2 linked regions of the Lepisosteus oculatus genome follow. The protein of the gene in region 1 purifies or fractionates together with the protein of each later gene. This does not show direct contact. Links are inferred from orthologs where the notes say so. Each region holds a gene or a part of one and is shown on either strand. Other genes may lie near its edges.

What was found. The genes of interacting proteins can lie anywhere in the genome.
Region 2: the proteins of dbnlb (region 1) and neurl4 purify together in Homo sapiens (co-immunoprecipitation; 4 studies listed by BioGRID and IntAct, counting the BioPlex papers as one, with this or other methods). This does not show direct contact. The link is inferred for Lepisosteus oculatus from reciprocal best matches to the Homo sapiens genes DBNL and NEURL4.

What each region holds. Positions count from the first base shown.
Region 1 is NC_090697.1:71,794,037-71,801,605, forward strand, and holds the start of dbnlb (drebrin-like protein B), read left to right. Parts: upstream 1-4,006; 5' UTR 4,007-4,158; coding exon 4,159-4,241; intron 4,242-7,569. UniProt on the Homo sapiens protein: Adapter protein that binds F-actin and DNM1, and thereby plays a role in receptor-mediated endocytosis.
Region 2 is NC_090698.1:7,785,587-7,793,777, reverse strand, and holds the start of neurl4 (neuralized-like protein 4), read left to right. Parts: upstream 1-4,784; 5' UTR 4,785-5,363; coding exon 5,364-5,525; intron 5,526-8,191. Other genes in the region: uncharacterized protein, read right to left, coding at 35-244, 1,078-1,208, 1,948-2,040, 2,356-2,433, 2,739-2,870, 3,408-3,661. UniProt on the Homo sapiens protein: Promotes CCP110 ubiquitination and proteasome-dependent degradation. By counteracting accumulation of CP110, maintains normal centriolar homeostasis and preventing formation of ectopic microtubular organizing centers.

The DNA.
Region 1 (7,569 bases):
CTACAATCATATAATCCATTGACTTAACTGTAGTTATGCACTGGTCCATCTGTCAAAAAGGAATCTTTGTATAGTTTAGAAAACTGTCATAATTTCCACAATTATAAAGCAATCAAGAGATTAACAAAGATGTGGTTAAGGAAACGGAGTAAAGGCAGGCAAATGTTTGCCAAACGCATAGGTCTAGTGATTAGTTAAAGCTGCTAATGAAGTAGCTCTTTTGGCAGCATCTCCGCAGTGTCATGTATTTACCTGTTTGGGACTTTTAGGCCAGCTACAGGGGTTGGACTGGGCCATTCACAGCAAGACTAGCCTCAGTTCACACTTGACCCAGAACTAGATATCAAACAGCTTCTGTTCTTTTCAGACTCTGAAAAAGGGCTGCCTTTTGTTTCTTTTCTGTTTCTCAAGAACACACATAGCTGTTTCTAGTGTAATTAAGGCTACGATTTTGGCACCAAACTGTTTTTAAGTCTATTACCAGTTCACATGTCCCTGCAACTTTGCAGGGAACTAAAACGATAATCTTTGATCACAAGGAAGCAGAACACAGGATATTTTACAGCTACAATTTCTACTGGAATACTTTTGAATGTAATGCATTTACGTGAAGGTAGTGTTCAATTTGTTACCACAGAGCAGAATTGTTTATTATTGTTGCTGTGCAGTGACATGGTTGGAGAGCATACCTAGCACATCTGTGCTTTTTGTATTTAATTAATTTATTCATTATTTATTATATTCCAAGTGTAGGGTGAGTTGATAGTGGTCTCCAGTCATGACCTTTTCCTCTGTGTGCTTTTGATGCGATTCTTGGTCAAACACTGAAACAATATCTTGCCGATTGTTTTTTCAGAGATTGTCTTTACATCTGGAGAACAGTTTTGTGGCTTGCTCTGTACAATGGGCTGACGAAGAAAGTGTTTTGAAAAGCCATTTGCAAGATTTCAGGGATTTTATTACTATTCATAGTCTATCTGGCACCTTTGTCAAAATCTTAGCCTTAACTATAATCGTATCCTGTATATAAATACTGTAAAAACACAATCAGGGCTTTAGAATTTTTTACAAGGCAGGGGAATCCGTGGTTTCATTTCAGCATGAGCCTAATAAAAAGTGAATCTTAATGCAAACTTTTTTACTCAGTGTTTTGCTCATTTGAAATCCTGGATGCCCCAGTTTTAAGTGTACAGGCATCACCTTATTTTCACTTCGATCGTGAATGATTCTGAATGCACGGCCAGCCCTCACCCCACCCCCTTCGCCCCAACACTTCCTTCCCAGTATGTTCAGATACCATTTGGCACAGAGAAATTCAGATGTACCAACACTAAATTAATAAAGCTCCTTTTGTTTTATAAGTGGTTTGAATTTTATTTCCCTGGTGTGTTCCACAGATTCAGCAACAAGGTTGTTAAGCAGAAGGAGTGGATTCTGTTGCAAAAGCAATCTGAATTGTGGGAGTAAGATGGAAGCTCTTCAGCTGGATGATAGAAACTTATCAAACTGTGGCATGATCAAATCTGTTTGAATAAAGGGCAAAGTTAAAGTGCTTTTTTGGGTTTGCATTCAAAAATGTATCCATGAAATTGCTGTATTCTTATCACGATTCATAAATTAAATTATTACACTATTCTCTAACCAAAGTCTAATAATAATATAGTACTAACATTGTACAGTAGTCTAGAGTTTTTTGGTAAAGTATAAAACACCATCCAAGCTTAATGACAAAGCATTGAAATATTAAAATCCTCCAAAACCTGTATTAATATGTTGCCTCTTAAACCATGGCCTTAATGTTTTGAAGAAATCAAATATGTTCTATTTATGTTGGGTGTAGAAAGATATCTCAGTACAATGCCGCCCTCTGGGGTTATTGCATAAAACGGCATTCTAGACTCCATTGCTTTGATTTCAGCGGAAGAGGTAGCTTTTAGCATTGGAAAAAACGGATGTGTCATTATTTAGATTTAATTACATTGCAGGAAATAACTTTTTTTGTACAAACAAACATCCTCATACCCGGTTTATAAATAAATGTTTGCCTTCATTAGAACTGAAAATACTGAAAGCATTTTGTCACGTACTGCTGTAGTTATAACAGTGGCATATTCACAAAAAAAAACACATTTCACATCTTCCAATAATAAGGAACTTTTGATAGAGTTTATTCTTCAAGTGTTATTGTACTGGGGCACCACATTTTCCTATCTCATATATTAATCGGCTTGCTGGAGTGTACATAAATCTTGACATTCATCTATTCATAGGTACGCTCATTACTTGCCCAACGACTTTTAAATGAACCTGCTGATTTTGTGTTTGTTTCTTGGATGAGTTTAAGGAGTAAAACCCATGGCTGGAAGTCAAGGATTACTCCTGGCACCCATTTTGCTTTCATAATATGAATTCCTGGTTGAGTGTTTTGCTTTTTTATTAGAAGTGATAGCAGAGGTAGTAACAGGCTGCCCTTGCCCTTGAGTTTGTACTGTTCTGTTGTCGTGAGCCCTGGTTCAGGGGGCTTGGAAAACACCAGTCGGGAGCAGACAGACAGAAGACTCTAGAAGAAACGCAGTTTGCACCACAGCACCCAGGAGCAGACTCGGACACCAGGGACTCTACAGAAAGCAGTGGAGAAAGGCCCCGGCATCCATTGCTCAGGACGGCCTGGACTGAGGAGGGCACCTGAGACTACACCTGTGGAGTTCATGCTCTGTGGTGAAAAGGAGGCACAGCAGGGCATCGACTGGAGCTGTGTTTTAGAGAACAGCACTGCTGGACTGTTCCTCTGGCACACTGGAGTTTGGTAACTGGGGTCCGTGGGGTTCTTGTGTCCCTCGGAGATGCCTTTTATGTGATGTATTCTGTTTGGCTAGGCCGTAATAGACAACTGTAATCACAAGGAAATAGAAAAGGGAAATGATGTAAGGATGTATGTCTTGTCCGGTCCCTGGGGACACTGGTGGTTCTGGGAGAGATAGAAAGAACCCGTTGAGGAGGGAAAAATATCCTAGCACCTTTTATAATTGATAGATGGCATAGTTGGCTATAAAGGCTAAAATCATCCTGCATTTAGAGGTCACTAACTATTTCCATTACTTTTAGGAAGTTGTGTTTTTTAATGACAAAGTAGTTTAGAGGTCTAACCTCGGTTTAACTTCTCATCCGAAGTACAGCACCTCCTACAATGCCGAAATTCTGTTTACAGTATTGGGTATTGGTTTGGAAATTCTAGTCCAGGGGAGAAGCTGTTACCTACTGGACCAAAAACACTACTGGATTTTGCTTAGAAGTCTCCCTTCCTTGTGCCAGCAGCCATATCATCCTCCAACTCCCAGTGACAATCTGCTGACGTTCAGTAGGTGGGAGTGTGGTCAGTACCTGGATGGAAGACTCCTAGGGAAGATAAGGTTGCTTGTGGAAGAGGTGTTAGTGGGGCCAGTAGGGGGGGGCTCACCCTGCATTCTGTGTGGGTCCTAATGCCCCAGTATAGTGACATAAAACTGAGGTCCTGACTCTCTGTGGGCATTAAAATGTCCAGGGCATTACTTGAAAAGAATAGGGATGTTACACTGGTGTCCCATGTGTCCTGAAAAGTGCTATATAATTGTAAGGTATTATAATAATAATAATAATATAAATAATAATAATAATAATTATTAGTATAATAATAATAATAATTATTATTATTATTATTATTATTTTATTATTATTATTATTATTATTATTATTATGTACTAGTACTAAGTAGACCAACTACTTTATAAGGTCTGAGAGATTAGGCTACAATTTTGAATACTGCTTCATCGGTATAAAAATAAAAATGTAATAATGCAATGGACATACAGACTGTACCGGTACTGCACAGTCCATGAACACTGCAGGACAAAGCGCACCCAAAAACTGGCGGGGCTTCAGCACAAAAACCCTTTCAAAACTTTCGGAAATTTCACCTCCAAGCAGTAGGGGGCAGTCGTAAGCTGCATGCGGCGCTCGCTTGCATTTCGGTTTGGAGCTTACGTGTTTCGGCGAGGCTCGTCGCTTCCTGTGTTTAAAGCAGGACTGCGATAACCATCCGCGGTGGCTCAGACGGTCAAAGTCGGGCTGCAGCCAATTTGAGTTGCACAGGGTCTCCAGGAGGAACACGGTGACGGGATCATGTCTGTCAACCTGAGCAAAAACGGCCCGGCCATCACTGCAGCTTATAAAGAGGTGGTGGACGAGAAATCCAAAACGAACTGGTAAGAAAACTGTAAGGAGTGATGCAACGCACCCCGGGCGTGTTTAGCTTTCGTCCTACATTCAGACTGAGGGCAGCTATTTCCCCCAACTGTCTCCTCATGCCTGCGGCTGGCGCTCCGCACTGATTTCCTGCTTTCCGAAAATAACACGGGATTTGTGTATTTGTTCTTGCCAGTCAGCATTCATTTACTGCTTGGCATGTCAATGTGTGCGTGTTTGGAGGCGCGCTCATTAGTCGCGCTGTCTCGAATAAACGAGAACGATTGTGAGACTCGAATGATTTATTAACAGTGCGTCCGTATCGATATATTTGGAAATAAGTCATCTACTTCCCAAATTCACCTTTTACAGCAGACTTGTTCCGTTACCTTGCCTTTTAACATTACGTGCTCTTAATTGACAAATACGGTTTACAGCGATATTGTTATACGAACATGCAGTTGGTCAAGGAGGAACTCCTGATTCAGACGTGAGTTTTGTTACAGCAAAAACTGTGTAACTTGAAACCTCCTGTGTCGGTATTTCACGAGAATTTTTTTTCTGGTGACTTTTCACTCGAGGTCAGGTCGTCTGCGTTGTGAAAGCGTACCTCGCACGTACCTGCAACCTGTTTTTGTATTTCAGCCGTCCTGGCTATAAAATACAAGCATTTGGCGTATCTGCTGCAAATGACGTTTGCTGAGTCGCTGGACTGAGTGTCTGACAGTCTGGGGACGTGAGTGATCACGAATGAATCACTCTTAACCTCTCAATGCCCTGAGAGGTGGTCGCTTTCCGGTTAGTAAGGAGGTAAACTCTTCGCACTGGCTGGAACGATAAAGCTACAAAATACAGTTATCAAGTACACGGTTGAATTACAGTATAATTCATTTCGTTTGATTGATTTACTTCTTGGGATGTAGCTTTTGTCCGACCTGTGTGTCTCTCTGTATATGAATACCTATAATAAAGGCCAGGCCACTTTTAAAATCGCCAGTTACAAATCTTCAGTGACGCCCCCACATCAGCCAAACATTTAAGATAAATCATTTTGCCAGGTTCCATGGACTCTAGATGTGTCCCAGCAGCCTTAAACCCAACCGAAACGCTCTACAGGGGTCAGTGTGCTAATTATTTTGGAGGAGTTGGAATTGAAATGTCTAAAACTAAACCGCCTACAGTCCTCCCACAAAAACCGTGGAGAGGGAATCGTTTTTACTCATGTGTGTCAGCAGCAGAACGGAAAAAAAACAGTACTGTTCTGGCCATGCCTGGATCTGAGTCTTACTGCCTGTTTATGGAGTAGCAATCGCAGAGGTTTCAAAGTAGGAAGCATCAAAAAGGGGTTATGTTTTAGAAAGCCACCTTTTTACCACTTTTGCAAATGTCTCGTATTGGAGGAAGTGGGTAGATTATCGTAGGAGCTGCCTAGACACAAAAGCAAGAACAATGATTCGCACCCAGAAGTGTCAGCACTTGGATTTAAATAACCAAAGCATTTCCCCACTAATACTGAAAGTACATGCCTGACAACATCTAGCATAAAATGGAGTGGGCTCCAACACAGGCAGGTCCGGTCTATACAACCACGCATGCTAGTGGAGAACATTTACTTATACTAGGGTTTACAGAATATTGGATTGGTGGGCATGTACCGTCACACAGTGCTAGGGATGTTCAGGGCTCTGCACATGTGAAACTGTGTTCTGTCATACAGACCCTGAATGAGCTCTGCCTGCAGGTTGCTATTCATTTCCACAGTACAGCTTTAGAGTTTTAATCCTGCAGCGAGCACTGAGAGAGGCACACAGTCGCTACGCTGGAAGACAGAGAGCTGAGTCACCTCACGCAAGGTGGTGGCTGATGGGCGAGAGAGCGGGGTGCTTAGTTCTGTCTCTGGAAAGAGGGAGGGATAAAAGAGGTGGTATATTGAAGGCCTGATTATTTGATGTGTTTGCATTCTGCAGCAGTAAGCAGTGGCTGTTTTTAAAATGACGACAGTTCTCAGATGGGAGAGAGGTGTTGCTGCTTTTGTGAAAACCCAGCACTTCACAGACTTGTCATTTTGATGTCGGGGGAGCATCACTGTTAATAGGACTGTGATGGATGTGTGCTTGTTAGACGTGTTTAAGTAACAGTGATAATTTCATGGTGGGTAGGATAAGTGTTTGCTTCCTGTATTGATAACCTTGCTGCTTACTAAGAAAATTGCATTGCAAATAAAATATTACGTCCATTGGAAAATATAGAAAAGTCAAGTTCCCAGAGCAACACGAAGTTGTAATTTAATCTTCTTATTAAACCTGTTGACTGGAGTGCTTAACAGCGTCCCTTTTTAATTAACCTCAGCTTAGCATCAGGGGTATTGCTTCACACTGCCAGAGTTCACTAGAGTGTTCGTGACCCACTCGACACACAAAGTGACTTTATGGTTCATTACCATAATGTGATAGATGTGCCGATGTGATAGTGCACAATAATTACAGCAAAGTGAATGACACTGGTTACACTATCCTTGTGCAAGGTCCTGGCTCTACAGAACATTCATTTGTATAGAATTATTTTCAAACAGTTCTTGTCGCGCAAGAAAACCTACAGTGTTGGATTAAAAAGACAGGGGAAAAAGTAAGTTCATAAGCCATTGGCTAAGGGGCTGTTCAGTTGGTTGCTTGTTTGTTTCCTCATCTGCAGTTTGCACTCTTGATAGAAGTTATAAAAAGTAAAATATTGTGTTTTTCCTGTAGGTAAATATTGTTGTATTCAATACAATGATCAGTGCATACATTTCTTAAAACAAGTTGTATCATGTGCTTGTAACACCATATGGCAGTGTTAAATGTGAGGTAACGATTTTATTTTTTAAGCTTTTTTTAATTGAAATTAGCTGATAAATAGTTCTGCTTTTTGCTGCTGCTGGCATTTTCACTACACTAAAATAAGCCTCGACAGTGCGATATTTGGAATTATTGTGATTTCCTCTAATAGTAAGATCTAGACAAAGCCCTTCCTCTTCCTTCATTTTCTGCATTTCATGATGAACCAGCTTCGGTATACTTTGCTTGCACTTCCTGTTTTAAAACTGTTCTCAGCTACTCCTGTGCTGCAGAAGGGACATCTTAAGAGCTCCTGTTCTGAAATCAGTAGCAGCTTTGTTTAGAGAGAGAGAGCTGTACCAGGGGCTCTGATCCTTGTCTGATTGACGCTGTTGTGCACCCACCTGGGTTTTGTGCTCTAGTGCTGGGAGTTCTTGAAAACTATCCCTGAAGCTGGCTTTGACACTGTATAACTTGGGCTTTTTCAGTCACTGCTGAGTGTCCCGCCTGTTCTGTCCAGCATTTTTTCTTCCAG
Region 2 (8,191 bases), on another chromosome or scaffold:
CTGGGTGATAGAGCTGCTGGAATAGTCCATGCACCTGTGGGCTTGTCCAGGGAGCCCCGAGGGAGCTCCCAGCTGTGGGCAGTGCAGTTGCAGTTGGTGCAGTAGTAGAGGGTGGGGACAGTGCTCCTTTCCTTCGGCTCCTCCATCTCATCCTCCTCCTCCTCCTGCAGGAGGTCCCGGGCCAGCTTGACGTGCCTGCCCTCGTCGCTGAAAGCCCTCCTCAGCTCCTCGAAGCTCGGGGTTCCTGCGAGACACACACAGTACACACAAGCGACAGAGCAGCCTTTTCTAATGACCTCTCCACGCCTCCTCCAGCACCTGGTGTCTCGCCACTTGGTCTGCACGCTGCCAGCGGAACTGGGGCACGTGGGTCAACTCTCACGCCCAGACAAACCCAGCGAAGCAGGATTTACAGACCCAGCATGTGACAATTAGGTTTCCGCCAAAGGCAACCATCATCCACCATCAAGCACTGTGTTTGGTTTTCCAGATGGACAATCTGGTGGGTCAAATGACCGATGTGTTCTAACCCCTCAGACCCACTGGCACCTGATACTGGGATCATGTTGTACTAGACATGTCAAGGGGCTCTTTTTTTTCCATTTCATTTGTGTGTGATCAGTGCAAGAGAGAAACCAACAAGCAAATTCTGCTGTGCTGCTGCTGTATTCTAGGGGTTGTATGAACTGCTCAGTGTTTTTCCTTTAAATTATTTAAATTTATGCTTTAAAGTATTTAAATATATGTATGTGTTCTAGAAAGCTGCAGCAGCCTCGCCGTGTTCTGTGTGTAAAGTAGCACTGGTGCACGTTTCTGAGCTTCAGTTTGTTCGTCAGGCAGGGAAAGAAACCACTTGATCTCTAAGTTGACCGTTTGGAAATGGTCCTGTAGTGGGCGTTAAGAAGAATAGTGAATGGGATATCCAGGCTGGGAGAGTGCTAATAAAATAAAAAATAATCGCTGATTGCAAAATATTGCAGAACCTCCGAAGAGGAATGATAGCTGGAGCTGGATGGCATGAGTGTGCCTCTTGGGCAGCAGTGTTCCTGCTGGGCGGAGCGGAGTGGGACTGCTCACCGAAACACGCCCCCGGAGCCCCGGACCCCTCCTCCCTGCTCTCCCCTTCTGCAGCCCCCCCCGTCTGGGGGGCTGCGGGATTGGCGCTGCCCTCCCACGTGCCCTCGATGGCGCCATCCGTCTCGGCAGAGCTGCATGGACACCACAGTACAGCGCGTCAGAAACAATGGGCAAAGCCAGTGGCAAGGCTGACTGGTTACTGTGCTGAGGCACATTTTCACAGGGGGTTTCGGTCAGGGCTGCAGTGTGACCAGCTGTTCCAGTTTTCCAACTCAACAGCAAAGGGGTTTTTCATTATTTTAAGCATTTTTGCTCCATTGTAACTGTCCTGAAGGAGATTTGTGCTAATGAGGCTGCGTGGCCCCAAGTGAGAAGCTCCAGTGACTCAAAGAAAGATTCAGACATACAAAGACTCAGAGAGAGATTCAGACATACAGAGACTCACAGAGAGATTCGGACACACAGAGAGTCACAGAGAGATTCGGACACACAGATACTGACAGAGAGATTCGGACACACAGATACTGACAGAGAGATTCAGACACACAGACTCACAGAGAGATTCAGACACACAGAGACTCACAGAGATAATTCAGACACACAGATACTGACAGAAAGATTCAGACACACAGACTCACAGAGAGATTCAGACACACAGACTCACAGAGAGATTCAGACACACAGAGACACACAGAGAGACAGAGAGATACACCTCAAAGACACACAAAAACACAGAGTTCAGGACACAGAAGCACACAGAGGTATGAAGGGCTCATTCCTCAGTCAGTCCCTGCAGGGCAATACACTTGGACAATAGAGAATGGATTTGCTGTTTGTTGAGCATTCAGGTGGAGCGCAAGAGAAGCTGACCTGGTCCCAGCACAGTCTGCACTGTCCACCCTCATAAGGCTGGGCGGCTGAGTGGCCAGGATACTGCACTCGTCCCAGCTCTGGCTCTTCTTCCTGGGCACAGACACCGACCGATCAGAGCGCCCGCCTGCAGTGGGCACTGGCCTGCACTGGGTGTAAAGAGCCGACACCCTGGAGCAGCAGACGTGAGCGACTAGACTCCTGGAGGGGCCACAGCCCTGCAGAGTGTCACAGCTTACTTTTCAACTAGCCACCAATGATGCCACCAGACAAAGGGACTGCATTTCTCCCAGTGATTAGCTCAAGTAAATCGCGGGGGAAATGAAATCCGCAACAGCATTTGCAGCAGAAGCTGGACTGCTTTGGAAAGCCGTTATTGGATACAAATCAAATTCAAAATCTGTCTACCTCTTGGTCTGACAGATGCAGGTGTGCTGTATTCCAGATGTGCTGCCGCCTGCACCCTCCAACATCACAGCGCTGGTTCTGCAGAGTCAGAGACATGAACAGGACAGAACAGCAGAATCTGCCTATGTTTTGGTGTCCATTTACAGTGTTATGTATATATAAATAGCTGACCCTGCGCTCTGACCCCAAGCTTCTCTCCCTGTCTGTGTATCTCATGGAGAGCAGGCTGGTTGATGGGAAAAGACAAATTCCTAATGCAAGAAATCGCATATGGCCAATAAAGTGATCTGATCTTATCTTACTGTCAGACCTGTTGAAAACCATAGTAAAAGTGAGAAAACACCAACGTAAATGTATCAAAGCACAGCCTCCAATGTACTCACATGCTGGGAGATCTTTGCTCCTCATGGTCCAGCTTCTGTATGTCGTTGCTGGGCAAATAAGCTCTCGTGGCCAAGATGCTCCACTCGTCCCACCTCTGTCTCTTCCTGGAGAAGCCGAGAAAGGCTGTGTAACTGCAGCATGAGGATTAGATTGCATTGCTATTGATCCACTGTAATTAGCATTGCACCACAGAACTTTCTTGTAGTTCTGTAGGTTTAAGTATACAGCCAGGTTTGCTGCTGATTGTTTCCACAGGTACCAGTGACAACTGCCCACACACTTGTTACTGAATACACTCTTTCAGTGACACGACAACACTGGTTTTGTACATCAGGAGCAGGAAGCAGAGGATCCTATGAAATCAGGTTCCCTGGCTAGGACTATACCCCAGATCTCAATTCTGTTGGAGACAAGTGGAACTGAATGGCAGGTTTCACACTCCAGTGTCCTCATAGCAACCTCAGCTGAAGGTGATACTGCTGGAGAAAAAGAGACTGGATTGGGGTGATCCCTGCGGAATGCATGCCCATTTCCGGATGCTCCCAGCGTCTCACGGTGCCATTGAGACCTGGTGGTCTAGACGGGGAGTGTGAAGAAGTAAATGTGTCCTGTGTGCGGATTCGAACCCGGGCCCCCCTGGTGTGGCACAGAGGGCGGGCTGGCGCCACCTGTGGTTTGGAGTGCCGTTCCCCGCCTCCTCGCTGGAGCTGCTGTTCTTCAGGATGCCCCTGAGTGGCAGGCTGCAGCTGGTGCCCAGGCTGTGCTTCACCAGGCCCGTGAGTGGCACCGGGGACGACTGGCTTCTCAGCGGGCACTCGGCGCTGTGCACCAGGCGCTCGGGGTCTCGGTGGGCGTCGGCATCCCAGAGGTCCTTCTTCAGAATCCCTTTCAAGGGTTTCGGCCGCCCGGGTTCTGTGTCCATCTAGCACAAAACAACAGAGGGCCAGGAAAGGCTTGATGGGTTTGGGTTTTATTTTGAGCACTCCATGTTTTTTTGTGGTTTTATTTGTCTTGTTATGACATATTTTTTGTACCTGTTGTTGTTATTATGTTTGTGATGTACTGTCTGCATCGTGTGGTGTTGCCTGTTGTCCTGTGTATGTTCCGAGAGATCTGCGCGATTCAGAATTCCAATGTATGTGTACATATGGCAAAAAATGACTCTACTACTCTACTCTTTTCCTGCTTGGGATTTGTGTTCAAACATTAAAAAAAGAGGGGAAAAAGGAAGGAGAAAGAAGCAAAGATGACCTTTGATCGGGGTGTTTCGAGAAATGGCTGGACATGACCCCTGGATTATTAAATAAACTACTAGCTGCCAAAATGCCCAGATGGATCTGGATGACTCTTCTAAAACTCACTCCAGGTCATCTGATCATGCCAGATCATCTGATCTGGGCTCATAGTCTCTCCCCACCACACCACAGCGATCCAGCTCTTGACACAGCATAGAGGCGGGGGTTCCCAATCTGTAGGCATGTCTTAACCCAAAAACCTAGTTTGCACCCCAAAGAGAAGAGCTTGAGGGATGGGGACACTCTTCGACTTAAGGAGGCATTTAACTGCACACCTGTTCAAGCATCATGCAGATGTTAATACTGAAGGCAGACACTGCAACATAGAATTAAACACAACATAATTGTAATTTAGAATTAACATGTGCATCAGAAAAAAAAATAATCTCACTTCTCCACACCTGTAACACAAATTTATAAACATATGCACCTTAACACATTACGCAAGCATAAAGCTTTTACCTAATTCGGGCTGACCCACTGCTCTGAAAGATCCTTGTTTCACTTCTTCACACACCTAAAAATGCAAAGTTCACTAACGTGCTGTTAGTTTTTCTTTAACTATTACGTGATAATCACGCGAAGCGGCGGTTGCGACGTCACACTCTGCAGCGCGGCTTACGTTTCAGCCCCGCCCTTCACGGAAAGACCTGCTGTCAACAAATTTACTTCTGATTACAGCGCCGCACAGTACAGTACCTAACGCACAAAGCCATATCTATCTATACATCCGAAACAAAAATGTAAAAACAGTTTCGATTATTTAAATAATTATATTAATAATGCTTGTATACATGTTTTTGCTGCTCTGAAAATGTGTAGTCTTTGTTCGTTTTTATATCTGTATTCCCAGAATGTAAGTAACCTGTGTCAGTTATATCTGCCCTTGCTGTCAATAATTGTATGTTTAAGAATAACAATTTTACAAGGCAGGGAACGTTCACACTTTCGTTTTCGTTGTTATTGTTGTTTACTACTGGTATCGCAGCCCAGTGATTTATGGCGATTAGTGCAAATGAACGGATTGTTTTCTTGCTTCAGAATGAAATACAATAGCTCTTTCTTGCCCACAGCCTCGCAACTGAATAAAGCGACCCCTAGTAATATAAGCACATAGCAAAAAAACATGCACCCGCACTGCCACAGAGCTTTAAATTGATTTTTTTGACACTCTGCTGTAAAGTGAAGTGACAGAATTCCATTTTGACCTTCTGCCGTCAAACGAGAGATACTGTCGTAACTGTCTTCCCATCTAATCGAAGCGGGTTGCGAGCCGCGCTTGGTTTCGGTGTCGTAAAGAGGCGTCGCGAACGGGCCGCCCCTGCGAAGATGGCGGAGCTGCATCCGCGCAGCGGAAAGCTGATCGGCCTGTCGAACTCGAACCGAACCGCCCAGCGTAATCAGCCGGTACAGGAATTTAACCACGGTCTTGTACTGAGCCGTGAGCCGCTGCGAGACCGGGATGTCTTCACTGTCCGCATCGATAAAAAGGTAAATACGAGAGCAAAGACGGGCGAGAGGCAGGGATAGGGTTCGGAGCTCAGCTAGGCGGAGATGGATGAGAGGGGAGTCGCTCCGTGGGGATCCACCTGGGCCAGTGGGTTCGGAAAACAAGACACCAGCACAGGTGTCGGGGTTCGGGGCTACTGTTTGAAACGGTGTTAGCATTGCACGTATCTGCAGGGTGGATGTTGTTAGCACACGGTAATAATTCTGCAGTACCGCATCCAGTGATACGGAATCGTGTTGTGTGTTTGGGGTGGGGTGGCGCGGAGATGAAATCTAAGGCACGGGATGAAATGAAACAGGTGGTGCATCTTGCCTGGTGAAATACATGCCTGGTGTGTCCGCTGGTCTGCATGAGCAATCTTCATTTTTGAAGAGCGCGTATCCGCTCTGGACGCGACGGGTCAGTGGTGGTCATGGTGGGAGGGGGGGGGCTGCCTGGGTGCCAGTCCTGTCGGTTTCTCCCATGGCCTGAGCCGCGCTGGAGGTCAGGGCGCTGTGTGTGTGTGCGCCCACCGCTCCGGGCTGCGGTGTTCGGCGCAGGTGGCGACTTGGCGTTACCTAGAGCAGGCGACAACACCTCCCGCCCCCGAACTCCGTTCGTGTGTGTGACTTGGTTTTATTTTCGTCACATGGGCTGCGGGACTCTGTTGGACTGTCCGAAGCCTATGTGAGTCGGTTTTAGAGGGGTGTGCATCGCCTTGTCCAAACCTGAAACCGTCATTTTCAGGTCGGGCGGCAGAGCGGAATTCCCTCGCGTTATTTTCCCAGGCATTAAAAATCTGCCCGCCCTTCGTTGGCCATTGCGCTGTCCAGTTGTTCTCGAGCTCGTCAAACGAGTCTTTTGCCGTGCTGAGAAATGGATCCGCGGAATCGCTGGCATTTCTTTGCAGCTCGACATAAATATTTCATCCTCTCCCAAGGTCAGTTCCTGCCTGTCCATCATTAATTATGTATTCCTGATCGGAAACGGACTTTCCTCCGGCACAGCAAGTTGGGAGAGGATGGAAAAGCCCGTTAAGAGTCCCACAAACTGGAAAGCTGTGGGCGTCCCGGAAGTCCAGTTTGTCTCTGGCTGGAGGGGCCTCTAGGCATGAGTATGGCCTTGGAAATTCATACAGATGGGTAAATCGCTGTCCACTGGGGAAAGTGGAAAAGCACACTGGAAAAGCACCGGATAAGCTTTTCTGGAAACATGGGACAACAAACTGATTTTTTCTGTAAGGATTCATGCAACAGAGGAGGAGAATTCTGTTCCGGGACTCCAAACTCCAGTCTGCATGATCGCAGAAGTAGTACTGTGGTACATTTATTCTGAACCCTAATGCAATGGTTGTTACTGGACATTTCCATTGTTTCTTAACATGCAATATTAAATGGAGTATGAAGTGCTTTGCCCTTTAAATAACTGCACCTCTCCTTGTGCACTGTACATTGCATGTGTATGAATGCAGTGTGTAAACCTATATACATTGTGCATTAGAGTATTACATGCAGGGCAAGTGCTGTGTTAACAGCACAATATAAAGTGTGTTGACGAGACTGTTGTCTGCACCCAGTGATGCTTTATGACTTGATCGTTGGCGCTACGTATTTGTGAATCAGGAGCTACAGACGCATTGTCTAGCGGGGGTATTTGCTCGCTCAGGACATTTGGGGAAACCGCTGGGAAGCCCTGGCACAGCTTTCAGTCCGCGGCTCCCAACCTCTGACCTCTGACCTCTGACCTCTGGCATTGCTGTAGATGTTCGGATCACGTGGAGCTGAGCAGGGCAGGTTTGTCTGGCCTGAAACCGGTTGTGATTCGGCAGAGAGATTCAGGGAGGCTCTGTGCCTTTTCTTGCCTGGCAGACGTGCTCTGGGGATACCAGCGATGGCCTTGTTCACCGTGTTTCAGCTTCTCTTTAAAGACAGCCAGATGTGGGCTATTAATCTATTAATCAGCGAGTTAGAAGACTCATTATGGGGTCATTATTGGCAGGCGATCAAGCCTGTAAGTCTCATTCGAGCCCGACAGGGTCGATCCTGGGCTGCTAGCCTTGACCAGCCATGACCTGGACTCTTTCAAGTGAGGGTACGGAGTTGACCGGACGCTGTCAGGGCTTGGGGTGGTCTTGGGTTGGCTGGTTTGTCATGCCATCCGTGCTCTTATCAGGAGATTCCTGGCAACGATCGGAGGGGAAATTCAGCTTTCCAATTTCCAATTCAGCATTTCCGAAATTTCAGATACACAGAATCTCACCACAGAAATCCAAAGAGCAGACAAAATTATGCAGACCTCTTCCTTCAGTGCCACATTCTCTCGTTTGGAAACCCAGATATTTTAATGCAGTCCACTTACAAATGTTATAATGAATGTAACGGCTCTCAAAGTCCACGTCTATAGCATTAGAAAGAGTTGGGTGATTTTAGGATATTATAAGGATTCTATGCACTATTTCTAAAGGGTTCGAGAATAATTTGCCGTAAGATAGCTATATAGCCAGGGGCTGTATCGCCTTGTAGCTCACAGCTGGCAGCCCACTGAAGCTCAGCGGGTGTGAGCCTGGCCAGTACCTGGATGGGAGACCTCCTGGGAAAGCTAAGGTTGCTGCTGGAAGAGGAGGTGCTAGTGGGACTGGTAGGGTGCGCTCACCCTCCAGTCTGTTTGT